Linked DNA regions of Oryzias latipes. The main gene of each other region encodes a partner of the protein of the gene in region 2 in a complex. Links are inferred from orthologs where the notes say so. Each region holds a gene or a part of one and is shown on either strand. Other genes may lie near its edges.

The links.
Region 1: the proteins of prim2 (region 2) and prim1 are in contact, whole or in part, in a crystal structure (PDB 5EXR), measured with the Homo sapiens proteins. The link is inferred for Oryzias latipes from reciprocal best matches to the Homo sapiens genes PRIM2 and PRIM1. Residues at the interface, in NP_000938.2 of Homo sapiens: Glu165, Ala168, Ser169, Pro171, Ser172, Phe188, Ala189, Leu192, Phe195, Arg196, Gly197, Arg198, Val200, Tyr201, Leu202, Glu203, Asp204, Gly205, Phe206; in NP_000937.1 of Homo sapiens: Lys147, Glu148, Asp149, Phe150, Gly151, Phe152, Ala180, Val181, Gly184, Ile185, Glu187, Tyr188, Ser190, Leu191, Lys193, Lys207, Ile208, His209, Pro210, Ile212, Arg213.

The regions. Positions count from the first base shown.
Region 1 is NC_019865.2:19,076,657-19,081,183, forward strand, and holds the start of prim1 (DNA primase small subunit), read right to left. Parts: upstream 3,094-4,527; 5' UTR 2,964-3,093; coding exon 2,849-2,963; intron 2,452-2,848; coding exon 2,294-2,451; intron 2,209-2,293; coding exon 2,102-2,208; intron 2,019-2,101; coding exon 1,945-2,018; intron 1,864-1,944; coding exon 1,727-1,863; intron 1,051-1,726; coding exon 992-1,050; intron 792-991; coding exon 682-791; intron 601-681; coding exon 509-600; intron 428-508; coding exon 295-427; intron 1-294. UniProt on the Homo sapiens protein: Catalytic subunit of the DNA primase complex and component of the DNA polymerase alpha complex (also known as the alpha DNA polymerase-primase complex - primosome/replisome) which play an essential role in the initiation of DNA synthesis.
Region 2 is NC_019873.2:24,463,576-24,466,644, forward strand, and holds the end of prim2 (DNA primase large subunit), read left to right. Parts: intron 1-1,638; coding exon 1,639-1,818; 3' UTR 1,819-2,194; downstream 2,195-3,069. UniProt on the Homo sapiens protein: Regulatory subunit of the DNA primase complex and component of the DNA polymerase alpha complex (also known as the alpha DNA polymerase-primase complex) which play an essential role in the initiation of DNA synthesis.

The DNA of each region.
Region 1 (4,527 bases), on a different chromosome or scaffold from region 2:
AGTAGTTCATCTTGTCTTCTATTTTATTTCAAATAGTTTACAACAGAAAGCGTGCAATAGCTTCAGTTATTTATTTCAACAACAGTCACCATTCCAAAGAGAGCTAATTATTTTAAGTAATAACAAAATATCGCATCTTTAAAGGTTTGCTTTTAATCCTTAATTTGAAAGTTTGACAGTTGTTGTTTTTTACATTCTTGTATGACATTTGCATTTTTGTCAAATCTGGCTTCATATTTATATGAATTTGTCTTAATGACTGCAAACTTTCTGCTCCTTTTAAGGCATAATCACCTGTTTTGGGATGGACACTGAACGGACTCTTGAGCAGATGGTTCACCCCTTTGCTGACGTTCACGTCGAGCCGAGGGTAACAGTACTGCAGCATGATTTCTTTTTCAAAGTGTTGGCCTTTTTTCACAGTACCCTAAGAAAAGAAAAAAAAACAGACGTCCTTCTGCACAAGAAAAAAAGATGTTATAAAATAAACCTATAGAAAAGTACAAACCTGCTTATTCTTAGCTTCATTTTTTATCATTTTCCAGAGTTTTTCTGGTTGCTTCACACCTTTCATTTTGGTCTGCAATTCATTTCTGACATGTTTTTGTGTATTAAGGTTGTAATTGTTTTATCTTATTGGCTCATATTAACACAAAACTTGTGACTTAAAAAAAAGGATATCTTCAGGCACAAGGGCCAGCACTTTGTCCACACACTCCTTGCGACCCAGTATGTCTTGGTCCTGCACCGCGTATTCCAGAAAGTATTTCTCCACCACTTCCAAAGATGCACTGTTAAGATTACAAATGTGGGAAATCTGAACAAACTGAAACCTAAACAGAAGAAAATGTTCAATTCTAGTAAAACAGAACAGTTTGATGCTTTAAAAATGGTTAAAAGTCTCCAAAAATAAAAGATTCACACCATTCACTGATGTGGGACTGCAGATAAAAATAGAATGCGTTTGAAACATTAAAATGTGGGTTATTACCTGATAAAGGGATGAATTGGATCTGTCAGGACCACTTTCTTCACCGTCTCCTCACCGCCCTACGAAGCAAACATGAGTTCAATAAACAGAAACTGAAAAAGAGAGATTTACAGGAACTGCATGAAAATGTATCAACAATGTTCCCTTATTTATGGAAGTTTTTTTTCCACCCATAATTCAAAATAATATTCAATTCTCAATCAACAATTAAATTTGCAATTTGATCATGCAATTTAGAAACGCATGTGGCAGATGAATATACCAAACTGACAAATGTTTTGCAGTTTCTTTAGAATTTTGACAGAGAAATATCACGGCAAATAGAAAAGCAATAGAGTTTATGTTAAATTAGGATGAATGTAAAACAAACAAGTAACTGAAATATATATATTTTTAATAGTGATTTATAAACTGGAAAATGTATTTTCAATATGCATATCCAAATTCCACATTGAATTATAAATTGCAAAATCCATTTTTACTTGTAATTTTAATTATGGTAACAAAAACCTATGACTAGTGGTTTTTATTTCAAATTACATTTTTAAAAATGTAACATTGAATTCTTATTTTACATTGAATTTACATTTTAAAATGGCAAAATGAATTGTCAGTTGGGAACTGAATGTTACTACGAAGAAATCTTCCACACTTGTCTCTATTTTTTAAACAAGCAAACCTCTTTCGCTTTTGTTTTTATAAACTGTTAAATTAAACCCATTTGCACCACATTACCTTGACCAGACTGAGGTATTCTGCCACAGCGGAACGTCCTGCGGCAGAGAGCTTCCGGGCAGCTTCATCACACACCCAGCAATGCACTCCTCTTCTGCCGGAGTAAACCCACAGCAAGTGCTGGAAACCAAAGTCGTCTGGAAATGCCAGAAAGCAGACTGCGGCTTCAAATAGGTGTGGAGCAGTGAAAAAGAGGTGAAGAGACACTGAAGACAAACCTCGGAGAGCCCTGTCCAGAATGTGAATGGCGATGGTCATCAGCGTCCAGCACTTGGAACAAATATCTGCAGCACTACAAGTGAAGTTTTGACATATTTAGTACATTTATGGAGAAAGCAAAGACATTACAAAGTAATGGCATATCAATAGTTCTACCTGCAGCAGGTGCGGACATCATCGTAGTCGGTCATGTCAATGTCAAACACAAGCTCCTTCTCCAGAGCCTGGAAGCTGCCAGACTTTACGGTGTTGTGTTGGTTAGGCTGCAGGTGTAAAGGAAGCCATCAGCTCTTTCTGCATGTCTGCATTGATGCTCAGAGAAGCAACATCAGAACCACGGTTACCAACCCTGTGACTGTAAACTGCTCCAATGTCGATCTTGTAAGGGTTCATCTTCTGCATTTCCTTCTCCAGCTCGTTCTGCGTGCTGAATGACTGGTAGCGAACATAGATGTCATCCTTGAGAGTGAAGGAGAACTCCCGGTTCTGAAAGTAGTTTTTTTGCACTGAGGAGAAAGAAAAGCAGGAAGAAAGAAAGATCTGTTCATTTTATGAAACCAAACACAAGCTTTAGCTCAAACATTCGCTTGTTATTTTGACCAAATATTCAGCTAAATTAAACCATGAATTAGAATTCAACTTACAATAATATAAGGTTCTACTAAATAGATGTGTTTTAAAAAAACAAGTGGGAGGATTATATATATATTTCATAAAATCCTAATCGATGTCAATGTTTGGGTTTGTTGTTGTTACACAATCAGCTCTCAGATATCCTGTCAGCGGCTGAATAAACACAATCGATAACTTTAAGCACTCAATATTTGACAGTCTTTAGCGGTTTAGCATCCCAACATTAACTTCTTCTACATTCCACAGCGTGTGTTTGTTTATAACACTCACCTCCGCCGTAGTTCAGCCAGCGATAATATTGTGAGAAGGGGAACAGTCGCCGGTAGTAGAGCGGTAATAAGTCTGGGAGACAAGCTGGGTCGTAGTCTGAATACGACATTCTCATAAAGCTACAGCTTTGACAACAATTGTAAATGGTTCAAAAATACCAGCGAGACGCTAGCTTGTCTGTTCTTCTTGCTAAAACGCTCACTGTGGCGTTTGCTTGCTGCAGAGCGCGCGGGAAAACTTAGAACAGAAACAACCAATCACAGGGGACTTCCGTTCACGACGTCACCACAACCAGGAAATGTCCGTGCATCCTCTTTTCTGAAGTGACGAATTAGAGAAGGGTTATGGGAAATGTAGTTTAGTTGGAGAGATACATCCGAGGCGTGTAAAACTGAAACAATTTGTGCTGTTTTTGTTTAAGGATAGCACTCTTGCAAAAATATATAGTTTTAAATATGTTTATCTTTTATTTGTTTATTTTTAACTGTCTATAGTTGTTTTTGCTTAAGTATGTCCCCGTTACAGCTCTACACCATTGACTGTGTGTGTGTAGTTATTTCTACGTGCAGTCAATGCTCTGGACACAGGAAAGGAAAAAAGAAATAGATAGATAAAATTTATTACAAACCAATAGTTCAATCATTCATATAAAACCACACAAATACAATAGAATAAAAGAGGCCAACTAAAAATAAAAAGTCAAAAAAATCCTTATTAAAAAGGCAGAAATAGAAGTAAGATATACAATAAATCAATATTATTATTATTATCCAAAACCTAAATATGGTTTTATGCTATTGTACTTGGTTTCCTTGTCAAACTGTCATGAACAATAGACAATCAACAATAAATAAATAATGACAAACTAACAAGTGCTCAAGTTTTGAAGTTATATTTTCTAACTGACTGGAAAAAAAATCTTTCTTTTCCCCCTAATTGTTGAGCCATATAGACATTTAAACTGGTGAGTAGATTAAAAAAATAACAAGGTAAAACTTTTACGAAATTGTAGGCAATTTTCTGCTTTACTGTGAAAAATTTGAATGAATAAAATACTGACATATCCTACAAAAATGACGTCTTGCTGTGTTTCGTGTTCAGAAAACATTCTCTGGTGGGTCATAAAATATACATCTTTTAAGTGTCAAACATCCAATAAGCAGTTAATTTTGGACGAAATTGTAACTCTTTCTTTTCGAAAGAGATCCTTGAATTTGTGCCCATTGAGAGACTCCTAAAAAATGTTTTAATAAGTATTTTACCACTGAATGAATATTCACAACTTATTTTGCCTTTAAAAAAATTGAATCTGTAAATTCAATACGGGCCCAAGTCCAAGAAGTTTGTTTTTCCAGGAAATTATTTTAATTGCATAGCTTAAAGGGAGGCAACACTAAATGATTAATACTTTACCCAGATTTAGCACCAGATCACAGTTTACAAATGCTATAATATGAAGCACCTCACTTTTGTAATTTCAGAGGACTAGTAAACTAAAGTCTCTGGACGTGGGCCCTTCTTGAATTAAACAGAAGTAACATCTGGAAAGAATGGACAAACCACATATTTATCATCATGAATCTTTATTTTTCAAACTGTCACATTCTTAACACTTCTTAGGATCAGTTTCTATCCAAACCCTTTTTCTGCTACATGATAAGTGCTAGTCAGATTTGTTT
Region 2 (3,069 bases):
GACTTCTCTCAGACAAATATTAATATTTCCTCTCTTATTCAAATGTTTAAAGTTCAAACCTTCGTTAAAAAAAAGTCCAGTATTATAGAATGAAAGCAAAGATTTGCTAACAATTGAATGTTTATTTAAATATTGCAAACTGAACGCGTTCTGTACACGAGACACCACACGTATGGGACTGATTGACAATGGTCTACAGCCAATCAGGATGCAGGACAGAATCCGCTGTTAAAAAAACAATTACAAGTGCACCAAAACTCTGCTAAAGGTGAATTGTGATATAGCGAGGGACCACTGTTAGAAATATGTTGACAGACCACAGAAAACTAAAAGGAAAGAACTTGCTCTATGATAAAGAAGCAAATCTAACTTAGTGTTTTTGGATCTGGTCAAAACAAAGAACAAAACCTTAGAAGAGTACCAGAACTCTGGATATTTCTGTAATCCTGCATTTGGTTATTTTTCTTGCCTCTAATGGCAATAACTGTTGAAGGGACAATGTAGTCATGACTTGATTAACTGCACATGAAGCTTAATGAATAGTTTGTGGTTCAATTGTTTGCTTACAAGAACTTCACATACATTAATTTAGATTATGCATGCAGTCACTTGAGAAATGTTGTCTGCAGTCGCGTAGAAGAGAAGTTCATTTGCTTCGACAGGCAAAGTGTTCCTGCAGATTCTTATCTCATTGTCATGATGCTAATAACTTAAAGACCTGTAGGATTTTACACAGCGTGTTCCATAGAGAAGACCTGGGAAAGTGGCGGCAATCGTTACCTCAGACTCACTGCAGAATCGCTTCAGTCCCACACAGAAAAGCAGATTGAGGGAAATTCAAAGTCTGTATAATTATCCTCATTTAAAACCTGTAATTCACAGTCGTTTCAAAAGGGGCTAAAAAACAAACAGAATTTGCTCAGTCACAATAGTTTTAAAGACGCTCTAATCGTTTTTATTTTTATTTTCAGCAGTGGTCTTTTAATTACGGTTATGCCGTTTCTAGCCCCCAAAAAACAGCTGTTTTTCGAGAACATAATTTCTGCAGGGCAGCAGTTGTTCATCAAAAGTTCATCTCTGACTTGTGGGCGGGACCGTTGGTGGAGAGCAACCCCGCCCCCTTCCCCCTCCTCGATGCAAAAATGGCGAGCAATATCGGAGCTATCGAGCTGTACAGTTTTGATTTTCTAATTTTGAACAGTGGGGTTTTAAAGAAAGTTATGAAAATAAATTGTAAACAAATCTTTTATCCTTTCTACACACTTTAAAAACCATGAAACGGTTTACTAAAATCCTAAAAATGCTTCTTAATAAGTTGAAAGCCCAAAACAGTTTGAGGTTTCCATTGGTTTGACTTTCTCTGTCCTGAAAGGACATTTCATGTGACAGCTTTTGCACTCGTGTCACACTTCTGGAGGTGACTTACCTTACAAACGAAGCCGTGAAAACCCGTTAAGTCAAATAAGTCTGTGCAAGAGTTCTCATCTTCCTCCATAAGTGAGACAATCATCTTCTAAAAGGTGACATTCCATGAAATCAGTCAGTCAACCTGCCACTTCTGTGACAGCCCATAGTTAGAATCCTCCGCTGACCTTCCTCTCCTGTTTTTTTTTTTTTTTTCTGTTTCTTTACGAGCAGGTGGAGGACTCTTCTTTCTCACTCAGTCACCCCAACCAGTACTTTATAGAGAGCCAGAAAGCTTTAGGTGGAGGCAAGGATCCAAAGAGGGATGTGGACGTTCCTCAGAAGGTGCAGGAAACCTCTCAGCATTTGGCAGAGACGGCTGAGGACCTGGAAGCTCTTTTTAAAGATGGCTGATTTCTCTCACTACATGGAGAAATCCTCCACCTTTTTCTATTGGAGATGGTTACATACTGTCTTCAAGCCTCTTGCATCACATTTGAATTATGCTTTTTCTTTTTTTTTAAGATTTTTTTTTTATATTCACCTTGTCAGATTGGAGCCTCCTGTAAAACTTGTAATAAACACATATTTAGCTCCTTTGCTTTCGCTGTGGACTGAACTCGCAGGGCTTAAATCTGGTCTCTGTTTGGATGGAGTTTGGCTTTTGGGGGAAACCGTAAACATTTCCTTGCTGTCCCCAAAACAATGTCTTTGTATTTGATGGCAGCTTAATGGATAAATGCTGACAGGAGGATGGATGAAAAAATAAACCATTTCCACAGTTGTATTACTCTGCCTTGGAATATTGCCTCATAATGCACAATGCAATTTATTCAAAGCAAATGAGGTGGCGAGATATTTCCCCCTCTCTCTGTCTGGCCCGTCTGCTTAATAATTTCCCAGAAATGGTGGCAAAAGTTGAGATTGCGTTGCTCCTGCAGTGCAAGACGGACTGTTTCTCTTATTTGGGTGTTATATTTATGTGCATGTCGAAACACTACATCATTCAGGCTGCACTTGCATCCACGTGTGGCAGCGCCGGAGAATCAGAGTCCCACATTCCTGCACGGAAATTGGGTCTTAAAATCCAGTCATGGTGCTTGACATGAAGAGGATTTATCCAGTATAATAAGACAACTGGATAACTGAAGGCGGGCGGCTGTCAGCAAGATACTTCTTGATGTTCAATATTTGGTAAAGCATGACTACATTTGACACCGCTGCCCCCCCCCTCGACAGTCTGAAGCCACGGATGTCCAAGACCATTTCTGCAGATGGATTTACAGTCATTAGCAGTGAACTGGCTTTACATTGCGCAGCTTTCTTATCCGCCACTCGTCTGACGGACTACAGGTGATGTGAGATTCTTAAAGAGAGCTCTCACAGGAGCTGATGCCCGGCGTGTTCCATGAAGCCGTTGGGAGGTTAATGTTGCAGCTTGCTGATTTTTCAAATCTGCAGCCAGTAGGTGTTGCAGAATCCATTAACTTTGTCGAACCACAAAAATGTGCTGCTTTAATTGTGCGATGGCTGAATCCGTGGAGTGCAGGTGCAGCATAAAAACAGTGAAGCAACGATTACGCTGGCTCGTGTGCACATTTCTGTTCATTCAGAGATGCCTCCCTTTGTCCTCATCTTTTTATTTCATGCATGTTTGATAAATCG